2 linked regions of the Drosophila melanogaster genome follow. The protein of the gene in region 1 interacts with the protein of each later gene in a pairwise test. Each region holds a gene or a part of one and is shown on either strand. Other genes may lie near its edges.

Region 1 (7,884 bases):
TATTAAAGAAATTGATCCTAGAAGCTAGTGACATTGGATCATTAAATTTCGACTTGCTCTGATGGCAATACTTTTTTCAAGATGCTTAGGTCCATTAAAACCGTTGCTTATACACACAAATGTAGATAACAAACATGTTTAGGTGTCGTATTTTTGCAACTTAAAGTATATATGGCCAATTTATCGTCTTTAAAGTTCGGTCTTGTATTTAAGCCAATTTTGGGCTATATGTCTATTATAGCTGTCCCGCTCTAACACGCGCACACACACCAGTTAAGTTCGTTGTAGCAACGGCACATCGGTGTGAGCGTGTATGTATATCAGAACGTGTATTTGTGCGATTTTGCAACGCATTTACATTCTTTTTAGGTTACGTATCGATTTTGATGCAGAGTGAGGTTAGATCGAAAAACATCCAAGTTTTTGCATGCTTTACGAAAGCAAGGACATTTTTGAAATCCCCTCGGCGCCCTCTGCATGTTTCTGGTATCAGACGTTCGATAAAGACTAAACCCCGAAAAACCTAAAACGAGCAGGTTGCAAGCAGAAGCAAAAGCAAAACGGGCGGCGTTTTTATTCACCTATTGTACAATTTTATGTTTTTAGGGTTGCCAGGTATGCATTATGTTTATCATGAATATAATATAAAACCTCGATGTGTCCGATTAGACGCAAATCAAATGTCTTTAAATGTATAATTGAGACCATGATGTCGCGCAGGGTTGCCACCGGCAGGTCATTTTTTGTCCTATTGCAATGGCATTGCGGTATATAGTCTTGCCTACACGTCGGTAGTCTAGTCTAAAATATAGCATAGTAACAAATCCAGATATATATCAGATTTCGCCTGATTTGCAAATCGCGGTCACTTGACAACCCTGAAAACACAAATGTCTTTAAAGAGACTCGTACCATATCTGGCGTATGGTACCCGTACCCAGTCCAAATAAAAAAAAACTTCAAAACCCAGTAAAAAAAATGCAAATCCCAAATGTACCATTCGATTGGACCATTATATTACAGGGTATTTTTATAAAGAAAATTATAAATATAACATAAAATGGATAAAAAAAACTACACTTACCTTTCTACGACACGACAAACTCGTTTATTAACTTATATATTACCGAAAACTATTGAAATATGACTTGTGGTCTAACGGCAACTATCAAATGTCAATGATTTGAATGAATTTAACAGCTTCTCCGTGATTTGTTTACAATTCGCAGGCAACTCCACTTCCGATGCCCTTAAACGACGAAGACTGAAACACAGACTAAAATCGCACAACAACAGAAGGTGCCGAAAAGAACCAGTCTATGCACAACTGGTTCCGAAGAGCAGCGCCCAGATTGCAAGCTAGCGGCACTTGGAATAGAGATTGGCGCGTGATTCCGGATGCCGATTTCTGATACGCATCGAGAAGACATTTTTTATGGACGTTTCTAACAATACTTATTATTTTTGTATTTATTTAGGTTGGATTTTGGCAAAACTTATTTTATCTTATATTCAACTTTGCATTTTTACGCAATTTGTATTATTATTATTATTATTATTATTAACATGATGACCAGATATAACTTAAACTGGTTACCTTCTCATTACGATAGTAATATTATAAAAGGATGTATATTTAATAGCTGAGGAGAAGCAGCATTTCTATAGTATTTATATACAAAAATAAAAAACGTTATGCAGTTCATGCACGTGTACATCCCTAGTTTGGAACCAAACAAAATCATATGTTGTTACTAGGGCTGTATAGCTAAACGTTTTATTTATGGGAGCAGAACTATTAAGTGCCAGTTGGAACTAAGACGTGATCTCCCCTGTCCCTTCTTTTGCTTAAAACTGAATCATATTGACAAATGTTTTCGGCCCGTTTAAGTAATGTGACGTTCTCATGAAATACAACGGTGAACATTGCAAAAATCGTGTTATTTTCGTTAATTGTTCCAATGGGTGAACTAGTGAACGGAGTCAGCATGTGCCAGCCCTGATGGCTGCTTTGTTGAACTAGTTCCAGTTCCGGAGCTAGTGAACCAATAGCAAACGGAACAAAACAAAAACATCTGTAGATTATAGGTTAATTTGTTTTATAATAACAAATGCGGGAATTATTCAATTAAGATGAGCAATCTGCTGAATTTTGCCCTGCGGCAGGGCGTCAACTCCATCAAGCGCCTTAGCCTCCAGAGTTTCAGACTGGCAGCTCCGGCCATTGTAACAAAAACGCCGGTTACTTCCACGATAAAGAGATTCTCCTCCCAAGCCGCCCCCTTCGATGTGAACACCAGTGTCCCCAAGGACATAATACTTTTCAAGTATGAAAACCCCCGATTCTACCAGATGCTTAACTTTTTCGGGGTGTGTCAGTTTGTTTTCTGGACATATCTCTCGCACTTCGCCTTCACGACGCTTAAGGATGCTCCAGTGGTGGAAAAACCCGGAGAGGAGCTGAAGTGGTTCCAGCGCATAAATCTGGGCGATAATAAGTACAGAAATGGCATTACAGCCTGTAGCTTTCTGATAGGTAAGAGTGGTTTACTACGTTCTCGGCAAGCCGAAAATAAAACTCAACCAACATTTTAGGATATGGCATACTGTTTGCTGTCTGGATGTTTACCCTGCGATCGGTGCGTTTTCTTATCTTGAGAAAGGGTGGTCAGAGCGTTTCCTTTGTGACCTACGGTCCCTTCAACCGGAATCGCATTATGACCGTGCCATTAAAGTGCGTCTCCGCCGAGGAATCACGGAACATGGCCAGGGTGCAGCTACCCATTAAGGTGAAGGGCAAGACACTGTATTACGTCCTGGATATGCGTGGCGAGTTTCGGAATGGCGAGTTATTCGATTACACGGCGGGCCTCAAGCGTCGCATTTAAAGGGCAAGTTTTGTTGTTTTGTAGCTTATTATTTGTAAATAAAGATGTACACTAATTAAAACTAAAATGCGGCTTAGTAAATGGGCTCCGGCTTCTGGGTGAGCAGCAGTCCAAAGCGCTTCTTGATGGTCAGCCTCTGGCGGGAGTACTTATCCTCCGGTGAAAAACGTGCTGGATGAGCAGATAGTGTGGGACGACCATCCTCGGTGCGTTTCTAGAAGAGCAACAAGTGGTGACTTAGTTGGGTAATATATATATAGGGTTTTGATAATAATATACCTTCAGGGTGTAAACGCGATCGCCGTTTTCGTTAATTGTGTACATCAGATACATTTTTGCAGTTTTTGGATTGTTTTTCTGTAGTCAAAGAAGCAGAAAATAAAACACGTGTGGCGTGCGTTGCAAGGTGCTACCAGGCTTTAAAAAAAAATAAGCACTAAATAATCCAACTTAAGAGAATAGTCAAGCCTCGAACCGTGGAATAAATGTTAGCTAGATTTTCGTAGCTAGATCGCTTGTTATCGATTCACTTCCATCTCTAAGCATATTTGTATAGAATATTTGGCGGACTTTTGTACACAATGTCAAATAAAGTGGACAAGCTGCACAAGCAGGCTTTACGCGAACAACAGAAGCGTATTAAGCCCGGAGAATGTATGAAATATGTGCGGATGGTCATAGATGCCGGATTTCTGGGCATTCCCGTGGGCCAGGAGGCACTGCAGCAATTGAATGCGACGGGTTTGAAGTATGAAATAAGGAGCTTGCCCGTGAGCCACTGCATCCTGTGGGAACGCAATGTTGGCCAGCAGACGATTGCTCTGGGCAGCAGTCCCACCGGCCTAGATGAAGCCTGGAAATCGGAAAACCAAGTGGTCCAGTGGCTATCCGAAAGCAGCTTCCAACGGGCTGTAAAGGATCAAAGTCTAGTTTGCCTGGGACCGCGCTTGCAGGACTCATTTCCGGACTGCCAGTACACCATTGCCCTGCCAACGCTCCGTCACAGCAAGCATGGCAGCTCATCCAGCCAGGACGCTCTGATTGAGATGCAGTTGCTCCAGGAGCTACACGTGGAACAGCTAGATCAACCCGAAAGCCAGGATCTAGTGGCCCTGCTGCAGCGCTATACAAAAGCAATAGCCGAAGCCCCCTATAAGAAGCAACGCAACGAGACATTGGGAGGCTTCAAGAAATACCTGGCCAACGACAAGAAGCAGTGCGTCCGTGTGGATCAGGGAAACGGATACGGAAGACTCTGGCAGCAGCATCTGAATCGACTGCCAATGGTCACGCTGGAAGTGGCCGAGTCCATAATAGCGCAGTATCCCTGTCCCAAGAAACTGATCGATCATTTCTCCAGCGATCCACTGGCTGTCCAAAGTCTCGCCGATTTGAAGATCAAGCGATGCAATGGACCACAGCCTCTTCACACCGAGCGACGTATTGGAAATGTTCTCAGCAACAAACTGTATACATTGTATACTGCCAAGGATCCCAATACTCTAATTTAGAAAACTAAACTAAACTTTCTTAGCTTTAGAATCTGCTCATATATTAGCTTCCTAAAGTATGTACAATTATAATTAGGTTTTAAGTTAAGATCTAAGTATTTTACATTATTTTCTCATCGTATAAGGTATAATTTTAAAAATCACAATGTTCCTATACACATAACTATGAATTCAATTAATTGTGGTTTGCACACCTGAAGAATTGATAATATGTCCGCTTGGAAGTCGGAACTCTGTGAACATTGGATTGGGCGCGATGTGGAGAATGGAGTGTTGGCCATGGCCGATGAAAAACTTCAGTCCGTGCTCTATAGCGTGGCCAGAATCCGGGTGAATCCCAGGCAGGCGGAGACGATGGTCTGGCCGAGGCCCCAGATCATGGCGTATATGGGCGACATGGGCAGACTGGAGGCGCGATGCACAAAGGCGATGACTGCACTGCTGATTATGCCACTGGAGGCCGGGGAAAGGAAACCCATGACAAGGATGAGGATCGAGAAGAATCGTCCGAACTTGTGCTTCCGGAGCGTGAAGAAGGCCACCACGGCGGCGCAGGTGTGAATGAATATGGAGGAGAACAGGGCCCACAGAAAGACGTGGTACCACATTTCGCGAAACGTATTGAGACGCGCCTGTGACCGGAGTCCCATCACATCGGCGATGGTGTCCAACTCATCGGTGTCGTCCGAGAACATGGCTAAAACGTAGTCGATGGATGTTGACGTGGTATCCCTAGTTACTAGTTGCTAGTTATTGCTTTTCCGTTGGTCAGTTGAGTGTCCAGCCGCATGTCTGGTGGGGATTCCCTTTCTATAGCATGTATCCAGCCAATATTCATGGACCTGCAAACAATAACTCCCTTTAGACTTGACCTTCTGGCATTTAATTATACTCACGCCAACACATGTGTGTGCTAATGGCCACACCCATACCACATTTGTCGTATTCTATAGCCGGATTTGGATTGCAGTCTTTTTCAGTTGCTTGATCCTATTTAGCATGGCCTTAACTTCCGGTTAGCACTGTAGTTTAGCAAATGTTTGGCTTATTTTTAATTCGGTCAACAATCGATTGAACTTTCGTCACGGCACTCAATTAGCGCTCGGCTGGCGGCAGTGAATGCTAAATCGGGCCTAATTACCAGGCTACTGGTGTGCGGCAGCCCTAACTCCACATTTTGAGCAACACCAAACACTTTTAGTTGGTTTAATTTAATTTTATATTGTTCTTGTCTGCGATTTACTATGGCAATGGGAATGGAACGTTTGGGATTGGGCCAGTTCTGATAAGCAAACAGCTGTGACTCAGTTGCGAACTGGTTCGGGGCTTGCAGCGCAGCTCTAAATTATTATACTCAAGATATCCATATGTAAGGCAGATATCGTAGTGAAAAGTCACAGGGTTTTTAAGGTATATTCTTTTGTAAGCTGTGTTCAAATGCACTGCTTTCAGCACAAGCATGCTTATCGTTATCGAGCAGCGATAATCGGCGAACTAGTTCAACATAAACCTTCTTGGCACAAGTGACAACTCTGAAACCAATCCATAAACAAAAAATTTTGTGTAAACTAAAAACAAAAAGCGGAAGTTGAAAAACAACACCTTAGCGTATAATTTGGCCCCTTATGATTTGTTAAGTTTCTGTTTTGGAAAATGGGATGCTGAGATAGCCCTGAACAGGTGTAAGTCGTCCTCCTACACTATGACACATTTCTTCCGAGACGAACTTACATACATACGCACATATGTACACATATGTATGCATGTTTGTAACTGCATCCATATACGATATATGTATCTTACGCACTCGCGGCTATATACATATATATGCGGAATATATATGTATGTAAGCCGTCAATATGAGAATCGGTTGAAGTTAAGTCTTCATTTAAAGTGGCTATAGTACATATGTATATACACACTTTTAACCAGCATATGCTTGTGAATCGAGATTAATCAAAGGCCCTGCATTGCAGACTTCATATACTTCAAGCCCCACAAAACCAACGACGCATTTAATCAATGTTCTCCAACGGATTGCCGTGCAATCTGTCGTTTCCGAGCTGTCTCAGTGTACCAAAAGACGAGATCGGTAATGAAGAGCTACTGCCATCCAATATGGGTACTCGCGAGCCTGTTATACTCAATGTCTACGATATGGTAAGCTTACTTACTCCTGTTGCCCATGCGGACATCGCACAACGATAAATGTAACCTTGCATTTGCAGTACTGGATCAACGAGTACACCACCTCAATCGGCCTGGGCGTATTTCACTCCGGCGTAGAAGCCTTTGGCACCGAATTCGCATACGGCGGACATCCATTTCCGTTTACGGGGGTATTCGAGATCTCACCGAGGGATCACGACGAGTTGGGCGATCAGTTCCAGTTCCGGCAGAGCATCCAAATCGGCTGCACCGACTTTACGTACGAGGAGGTGCGACGTATCGTCGAGGAGCTGGGTAATCAGTTCCGTGGCGACCGATATCATCTCATGAACAACAATTGCAACCACTTCTCGGGCTCATTAACTCAGGTGAGACATAAATCGAGGAAACTTTCCACTGGGTGGATCCAATATCAAGCAATATTTTGGGTGTGCTTATGCATGATTCACCGATTGTCAGATACCGCCTGTTACAATCAGAAGTTCTTATTGTGAATCACCTCAAAAAGTAGGACAGATTACCATCCTAAACACGTCCAATACAATTAGATGCTTCCAAACGATTCGAGTTTAGGAGCAAGAAAATGCAAGCTTAAAAGCCCAAATGAATATTCATTTGACTATATCTGCAATTCCAATTACTCGTTCTAGATACTTTGCGGCCAAGAAATACCCAGCTGGGTCAATCGTCTAGCGCATTTCAGCTCCTGTGTGCCATTTCTACAAAGATGTTTGCCAAAGTAAGCCTTTCTAAGTGAAACAAAAGCCAAGTTCATGATTATTAACTACTCTATGTTGTTTTTTAGAGAATGGCTGACACCGAATGCCTTGCAGCAAAGCATTACCACAATCCAAGAGCGCGAAGACTCCGACAACAGTCCCCTTTGAGACGTTACCTGACCGAAAATATGTCACTTGGCGACACACAAGCGATCATAGTTCACATAAAACAACAGTCCTGAGACCAACATTGTTAAGTTACGCAGAGCAAAAAGCCGGGTTACTCATGTCACATCAATTTCCAAGCCAACAACGCCCCCTAAATAGAAAGCAACAACTATTATTAATAGACTTAAATTAGGCGATATACATATACATACTTACATAGAACAAACCTACATTGAGACATACTTATACATACATGCGAAGTGACTAAATTATTGGCTATTGTAATTTGTATTTGTAATATGACTATTCAGAATTAAGATATTATTAAGTGGCCGATAAATTTAAGTAGCAGGCGCCGTTCAGCAGCAGTGTCATTTATAGAATTTTAAATTAACTACGAAGACATCGAGAAATCATCATTAGGCACTT
Region 2 (9,237 bases), 6.0 Mb from region 1:
CCTCACCAACGAAGGAAGTGGGCTGGGGGTTGTAGGCCCCAGGTTGAAATACCACGAATCAATGGGCAGATACACCAGTATTTTTGAAGCTGAAGTCTGTGGTATTGGACGCTGTGCGGAGTTTAATCTGATAGTCAAGCATCCATAAAGGCGCTCAGCAAAGCTAAGATAACATTTAATCTATATGTGAGGACAGCCCTGACCAGCCCTATGAGCCCTATGAGCTGTCAGCAAACTCACAATAAGGTGGGTCCTGGGACACAACAACATCCCGGGAAATGAGCTAGCGGACAACCTCCCCAAGAAAGGGGCAGACAACCCTCTAACTGGGCCCGAACAGTTCTGTGGTGTTGGTCACAACAGAGTACTGGGCTTTTTTAAGTCAATAGAGGAAGAAAAACGTCTGTCCTTCTGGGAACACCAACCAGGTCTTTGGCAGTCTAAGATTCTCCTCCGTGAATGTAACATACATTCCTCCGTGAATGTAATGTAATGACCTTAATGACACATGGGAAAAAACACCGTGCGCATTTTAACTGGCCTTCTTACGGGGCACTGCCGACTTCGCATTTGCATAAGATTGGCATTGCAGACAGTGAACTCTGTCGCTTCTGCTGCATGGAGGAGGAGAGCTCTGCACATATTATATGTGACTGCGTGGCGCTTTCCATCGGGACGAACAGACTCCTGGGCATGTATGTAGTCCCACGGAAAATAATTGCAGCCCTGAATCCCAATAAAATTCTGGCATTTATACAGTGCATTAGACGTCAGGGGGATCTTTGAAGGGGTAGTACAATAGAGCCGACTGGGTCGCAGTACACATAGAAACCCACTTAATAATAATAATATTATTCAAAATACAATATCCGAAGTTTTAACATCAAATGACACTATTACGTTGAAAAGCTTGATTGTCTTACCCAGCAATAGTATTTTTAAACAAAAATCAACCATTTGATCTACACAGTTTTTCTAATAACTAATAATAATTATTACGATATGTTAATTGGCAATAAATGCACAAGCATTTATAAATTAACAATATAGCACAATAATAGCACAGTTAACCTTTTTGACAAAACATACAAGTTGATTACTTCAGAGCCGAGAAGATATAAAAATTTTTAAATTCAAAAGAAACCAGAACCAAATAAAAACTCAGGTTTATTAAATAAATTAAAAAATCTTTAATATAAAGAGATGGATAAACAAACATTTATAAATACCATTAAACACACACTAAATACAACACATAACACATAACAAAATTTATTCCAGACATTACCCACTTGCTCAAACGCATGAAATTGAAGTCGAAAACCAAGTACACGAAATGCTCAATTAGGTATAATTCAGGGAAAGTAATTCGCCATACAACAGTCCCAGCTCGGTAGTTCGAAACTGATGCGTCTAGGAAACTTGTGTACAGAGTAGTAATTGATTATAAAAATTTAATGAAATAACTATCCCGGACAGATAACCAATATAATACATGGACGAAATCCTTGGTAAATTAGGAAAAGGTCAATATTTAATATTTAAAAACCATTGACCCAGAATCAATATGTAAATCTGCATTCTCCACCAAAAGCGGACATTATGAGTACATTCGAATGCCATTTGGCATGAATAATATTCTAATAAACATATATACACATATAAATAGATAATAAACACTGTTTAGTTTTTTCTCCACATCCCTTATTGAACATTTTAAATTCATTACAGATAGGCTTTTTAAAACTCCCAAAAGCAAATTTAAAATTGCAGCCAGATAAATGTAAATTTTTGAAAAAGGAAGCTAGTTTTCTTGGTCACATCGTAACCCCTAATGGTATAAAATCAAAACCTCTTAAAATAAAAGCCATAGATTCATATCCAATTCCAAAAAAAGGTAAAAGAGATCAGAGCTTCTCTTGGATTAACCGATTACAGCAAATGTATCCCCCAGACATAGCAAGACAAATAACCAAAGGTTTAAAAAAAAAGCGCACAGATATGTAGGTGCACAAAACCTTGGCTACACAGAGGCATTCAAAAAACTTATAGCTTTAATCCGTTTTCAAAAAAGTCTACTTTAACCACAGATGCCAGTAATTTAGCCCATTTGGCAGTACTTTCTCAAAATGGTCATCCTATATTCTTTCTTATCAGAACACTTAATAAACACAAATTAAATTACAGCGCTATCGAAAAATAATTACTCGCCATAGCTTGGGCAACAACAACTTTTCGACATTATTTACTAGGACGACAGTTTATCATTGCTATCATCAGGTTATCATTATCATCAACAAAAATCGATTATATTGAAGGGATGGAGAATTCAGTTGGCGATGCATTATCTAGAATTAAACTTGAAGAAAACCATCATAGGGAAGTTACTCAACATAGCGCAAAAGAAGACAACCTTATTCATTCATTCATTCAGTTATACAGAACATTACAAAATTAATTAAAGAACACAGAACACAGAACACAGAAACACCAAATTGCCTTTAAAATCACTCCTAATTGCTGAGGCAATCAACATCAGTTGAATTGTCATTTATTTTAAATTCGCTACACTTGAAGAGAAGAGATATGTGAAATTAAAACAAAGGACTGGATAGAATGCAGAAACGCAATAATGTGCATTTCCAATCAATCAGGTAAACCCAAAATACTAAAGGCAGACAGAGACGGAGCTTTTTCCATTTTGACTCTAAAGCGACGGCTTTAAGAAGAAGGAATCGAATTGCAACTTAATACGGCAGGAAACGGTGTAGCAGACGTCTAAAGACTAAATAATATAATAAATGATAAAATCCGTATAATCAATTCATCTGTTAAGCAAATTAGAAACAATCCTTTACTCATACAACCATAAAATAAATATTGACACTAAATACAGGAAAGATCCACTTCAAAGAGGAAAATAAAAAAAATTAAACCAAACCCATTTAAAAATGTAGATAAATAGATCAAGACCATTACAAAATACGAAATAGGGAAACCGAATACTACAAAACACAATTTAAGAAACAAAAGAAACCTAATACCGTTAAACTTCCACAGGAACCTTGTGTATAATTATGTTGTGTCTAACATTCACCACGGACCACAGTCAAAATATTCAAATAATCAACAAAGATTCCGACCTAGGCTACTTACTCTTCTTAAGCAATCCAATTCAAATATCATCACTGTCTAATAATTAATTTAACGGAAATCATTGTGATCAAAATCTCGATCTTTTGGTAACAAAATCACAGACTCGCCCACAATGAAAACCTTATACAAGAAGCTTCTAAAAGAATTAAATGATTAAATTAAATTAATTTGACAAAATAGGTTCACGTTTTATCAGAACATCAACTTGAATTGACCACAAAAATAACGAGTTCTTCTTACTCATTTCACATAGCCCTGGTAACCAGGAAACCATCAACACCATTAAAATAATTCCCTATCCTGACCATATGGGTATCAGTTAAACTATTTAGATAAAAAAAACATATTTTTTGAAGATGAGAATACAATTTATCATAACAAAAAAGAAGTTAACAATGAATGCATTAAAAATATAATTAAGCGGAAGAATCCAATTTGAAATTATATGCCGACTCCCTCAAAGGAAATTATCTAGTACGTTGAACCAAATATTATACTTACATACAATCTCTCAAAATAAACAATGTAAAATAAAGATTGGAAATGCTATTTTAGGCGAAAATTAATGAATCGACTAACCTTCTTATACATCCCCAGTCTAAATTTGGAAAACAAGACAAAGTAATCAAGAACCACTACAAGAAATAGAACCGGCACAAAACTAGTTGCCTACCCTGTAATACCAGCCCAAGCATTATAATTTTTAAGAGAGGAGAAGGGATACACATAATTAGCACTGTCCAAAGAAATAAGAATATTCTTAATATCAATATACCAAGCCGGCGGTCTCGCTCTCGAAATAATATAAACAACTGGGCAATGAGTGTCCTATTCACATAATCCCACGCCAGTGTACATCACATCCGCTAATTGCTATCGATAATACTGTCTATGTCAAAATAATGTAAACAAAAGGGCAGTGTAAGAAAGATATTTGTCACTAACATTTAGTCTTAAACTGTGATCAAAAGAATAAAGACGTTATCCTTAGTCAACTGACGGGACATTAGTTCCACTCAATAAACACAAGCATTTCACTATATATATTTTTATAATTCTTTAGAGAGTTTTCTTTAGACGAGTTTTAGAACTCGTCTATCGTTCATTATGGAATCTGTTCGTTCTGAGGGTGACAGTTACTCAATCAAACTAAGGTCGAACATTTTTGAATTTTATGCTGTTCATGGTGTTCCTATCATCATCGTTCCTAATAATTATAATATTAAATTTGTCGACATGCATATATATGTATATAGTTTTCATTCTAGACCTCTGGTCACATTAACTTTATCTGAATATATATACACAATTTTATAACTTATGCTAGAATGGATTTTAATAATGACTTATCGCCTATTGATATTTTGACATTTATAACAGATGAACTGTTGCAAGCATACAAAAGCAGTAAAGGAGAAAATGAAAAGGCTGGGACAATTGTCAAGTTTCTTGACCGATGGAATGACGATATCTCCATTGCAAAACTCAAGGATCTCACTGTTGAATTTGAATCAGGTAAAAGGAAATTATAGTTATCAATGCTTCATATTATTAATTGCTTTACTTCAGATTTAGAGTGGTTCAATGTAAGTTGCCCCTTATCGATAAAAGGACTGCAAGGAAAAGTTATCATATTAGACTTTTTCACATATTGCTGCATTAATTGTATGCATGTGCTGCAAGAGTTGCACTTATTGGAAGAACGCTTTCCAATAGAAAGTGGTGTTGTAGTAATCGGTGTTCACAGTCCTAAGTTTGAAAATGAACGCAATGCGGCAAACATTCTGTCCGCTGTACAACGATATGGAATATCACATCCCATTGTCAATGATTCACGATCTGGAATGTGGCGCGCTCTTGGAATTCGTTGCTGGCCTTCTCTTTTGATTCTAAGCCCGACTGGTGTTCCGATGATGTTATTAATGGGTGAAGGGCATGGAAAATTCCTACAGGATTTTTTTTCTTCTGCCCTATCGTATTTTAGCCGTCAGGGTATAATTGACCATAGGGGTTTACCTTTAAAATTATTTAATGACTTTCAACCAGCATCTAACTTGCGTTTTCCCGCAAAGATTGTTCAAGGCCCTAATGGCCTGTATGCTATTGCTGATACGGGGAACAACAGGGTGCTTGTGCTTACAGCAGGCGGTGTGGTACAGCACAGAATTGGAGGACACCAGCCTGGTTTCGTGGATGGAGACCTAACAGTGGCACGGTTTAATAATCCTCAAGGCATTGCGTTTCTTAATGAAAACGTTTTGATTGTAGCGGACACTAAAAACCACGCCATTCGTCAGATCTCTCTAACAAATGCAATGGTGGAAACTCTTGCTGGCACAGGAATTCAGGGAAATGATCGAATAGGTGGACGTCTAGGACCATTGCAACCACTGTCGTCACCGTGGGATGTTGCCATATTTCGAACGAGGGACATGGATATGTCCTTTCATCTTGATGAACGTAACATACCAGAAAAAACAATTATCCTTATATCCATGGCAGGCACCCACCAGATTTGGGGCTATTTTCCCGAAGGAATTATTTGGTGGAAATTTCGTAAATTTGAGCCTTGTTGCTGTGTCTCACTAATAGGAAATGGTTTGGAAGAGAACCGTAATAATTCTTACCCACAGAACGCTGCATTCGCACAGCCATCTGGCCTGGCCATAGCGGGAGACGTTTTATATATAGCTGACAGCGAAAGCTCTAGCATACGCAAAGCTTCTATGATAGATGGAAAGGTTATGCCTGTCGTCGGAGGAGATCGAAACCCACTTGTATGTTCCATGTCATGAATATGAGTTATATAGTCTTCAAAATTAATGTATGATTTTTCTAGAATTTATTTGCATTTGGCGACATTGACGGTAGACTATTCAGCGCGAAACTCCAACATCCGTTAGGAGTGACTTTCAATGATACCAATAACAAACTCTATGTTGCTGATACCTATAATCATAAAATCAAAATTATTGACATCGATTCAAATGATATATCTACTCTACAAATTAAGAGCCAAGAAAATACTAACCTGATTTTAAACGAGCCCGCCGGACTGTGCTTGGATGCCAGCGGACGGAATTTGTTGGTAGCTGATACCAATAACCATTCAATACATACAATAGATTTGGTAACGCTTATAGCACAACCGTTTGGCTTAGATTTCAGACAAATAGCGTCCGCTAGTGAAATTGATGCGCCACAAGATACACAAAAGCCTACGGAAAATAATATAGTTAAAGCATTGCCTCTTGATTTAATTAAACCAAGTAAAATTTTTTTTAACCTTCGGCTTTCGCCCAGATTTAACTTTACAAAGGAAGCTCCTCAAAAATGGATAGTGAAAACTGTATGTCAATCTGTAATAGTAAATCCAACGTGCGGAAATCTACTTGATGGGATGTGCCACATGCAGGTGCAGGCTACTAGGCCTGATTTTATGTGTGAAAGCAGTCAAATATTTACCATCGAATTCGTATTAAATTTATGCCTTTCAAATTGTTGCCTAGTAAAAAAAATCACGGTTTCTATAAAACGCGATGACATACAAGAAGAATATATATCCATCCACAACGTAAATATTGACATTGAACAATAAAAAATGTTTTGATAGAAAAGTTTTGCATATATCCATAATAATGTTTCGGTATGTACATTTATATCCTTTACTCTCAGTGTAAATAGTTCGAATGTTTGTTTTAAATTAATTATAACCGCAGAGTATAAACAAAGATACTAGAATAACAAGATGCGTAACGCCAAAGATTTTTTGGCACACGATTTTTTCGTTGTGGCTCTAGAGGTGGATCCAGGCTCTCTAGAATTTTTGTTCGAGAGCGGAGAGCGTTACAGCTCCTTTCTACGCATACAGTGACAGCAGACAACTGTATGTGTGCACACGTATGCTCATGCATTGTGAATTTGACAAAATATTCCCTTCACCTTAGAAGTTTTTAGGCTTAAATCTATATTATTTTTGATCAATTGGCACGTTATTATTATTTAAATATAGCTGAGAAATAGTAATAGCCGAATCATAATAACACAAAATAAATTTCAAAATGACTTTATATTAGAATATTTATAGAGTATTCAGCAAAGCAAAGACACTAGAATAATTCTAGTGTCTTTGATATGACTTTTGCAATAAACAGTTTTCATATTTTTTTTTATTTTATAAATTTATAAATTTTTTTTATAAATTTATTCGTATTATTTTTATGAAATATTTATTTTTCAATGTAATGTCTTCTTTTTGGAAAATTTATGTTTTAAATTACAGTAGTTATCATAATTTCCTTTGTATTTGCTTTAATTATTTTATATTTATAAAGTCATTTGACTTAATATGAAGTATGTAAATGATCCAATTTTATTATTTAAAATGCACATTAGATTCAGTTGTTTTTCATATTCATTTTTTTTTTTTTGTATTCCAATTTGATATAGATATAATATATAGATATAAAATTCCGATTTAATATGATATGATGATTTTTTGTATCGGCATACGTATTTTGACAAGCCTTTAATGCCAAAAAAGGTTAAACGTACATTAGGAGTATTGAAACAATTAATAAAATATATACCCTCCTTTGGCACAAATAACTTTTTGTAGTAAGTCCGTTACTGAATCCACCAAATTGTGAACGATCTCTGGTGTCAAATCTTTCTCTCGAGTTTTGTGTAACTAAATTTTATGAAACAAGTCGCCCAACCCATTGTAGGCAACACATCCCCACAACATCATGGCCGAAGGCCTTATTTTTTGCCTTTTCTGAGTTGGTAATCTTACCAACAATTTTTTGTTTTGACGATTTACTATCACAAAAGCTTTCATCCATATGTTTCTTTGGCATATTTCAACATTTTACACTTGAACATTTTTGAAATATACGGCACATCCTTAGCAATCTATGTTCCTTTAAATTGCCAGACTGTGCAGTCACTGATTGCTTACGTTTACTTTTCGTGAGGCTGGCGGTCAGATTCCACTGAGTTACAACGGATTGGGCTGGTAGGGTTTTTTTTTTAGTTCCCGTATAAGGATTTTGTCGTCAGCGATTGTTCATTATTAAATCATTAAATCATTATGTTTTTTAAACGTTTTAATTTGTTAATACACAGTTTGACGATACACATTAAACCCTTTCGCATTGTTTTTTACTTTAATTCCAACGTTAAACGTTAAAATATTTATTTATGCAGTTTGCTAGTGTATGTATGTAACAGATAGAAGAAAGCGTTTCCGACTGTGTTATGTTCTCACTAGCCAAGTCGATCTGACCATGTCCGTCGTCCATCCATCTGCTTATACTAATAAATGCTGTAATATCAAGATTAAGATGGGCACGACCACATTTTTGAAAAAAAAAATTTTCAGTTTTATTACTTGGAAACTGTCTACTTGTCTACAATATAACTGAAATACCAAAATCACTTTATCTGTGCCCATTTTAGCGCCCGCAAGCTGAAAAAGCAAACCTGTCACGCCCACATTTTCGTAAATTTTCAGATTTTTGTTTGTTTTTTCTTTGCTATTCAACCAAATTTTTAGATTTCTTTATACCATTACCAATGAGTATCAGTTATCTATCATTCTTTTATTTTATAACCGTTACTAGTAGGGTGCAGGAAATACAAGATTCATTAAGAAGTATGTAAGATGCATGCGAGAAATGTGCACGAAGAAGGGTGGCATAAAGAACCAAATATCTACATAAATGAATTACTTCAAGTGGCTTATATTCAGCTGCTCTCCTAAGTACGAAAACTCGGGGGACTCCAACTCTTTTAAGAAGCATTTATGCGGATACGAGTGTTACATATAATAGCCATAATGATGTGATCCCTTCGGTACGGTGATTGGGTTACTGTCATTAAAATCCAACGAAGAGTTCTGCAGTCGACCATCTACTCGAAGAAGTCCAACTTAGTAAATTAAATGAAGGCTGTTCTATTCCTTGAGTGTTCGCAGAATTATCAAGCAAGACGAAGATCCATTATTCGTTTCTCTGTTAATGCGGTGCAATTCGTGGGCATTTCTGGCACACGCTTGACTTGACCACGTACAGCAGTTGT

The links.
Region 2: the proteins of mms4 (region 1) and CG12547 interact in a two-hybrid assay, tested with the Drosophila melanogaster proteins (one large-scale study listed by BioGRID).

What each region holds. Positions count from the first base shown.
Region 1 is NT_033778.4:10,807,656-10,815,539, forward strand, and holds mms4 (methyl methanesulfonate sensitivity 4), read left to right. Parts: upstream 1-3,422; 5' UTR 3,423-3,469; coding exon 3,470-4,399; 3' UTR 4,400-4,560; downstream 4,561-7,884. Other genes in the region: CG12935 (uncharacterized protein), read left to right, coding at 2,134-2,536, 2,596-2,888; Nop10 ribonucleoprotein, read right to left, coding at 2,962-3,102, 3,168-3,221; CG12341 (uncharacterized protein), read right to left, coding at 4,708-5,094; CG7222 (uncharacterized protein), read left to right, coding at 6,422-6,559, 6,628-6,936, 7,219-7,307, 7,374-7,455.
Region 2 is NT_033778.4:4,783,834-4,793,070, reverse strand, and holds CG12547 (uncharacterized protein), read left to right. Parts: upstream 1-4,428; 5' UTR 4,429-4,484; coding exon 4,485-4,671; intron 4,672-4,725; coding exon 4,726-5,933; intron 5,934-5,995; coding exon 5,996-6,754; 3' UTR 6,755-7,216; downstream 7,217-9,237.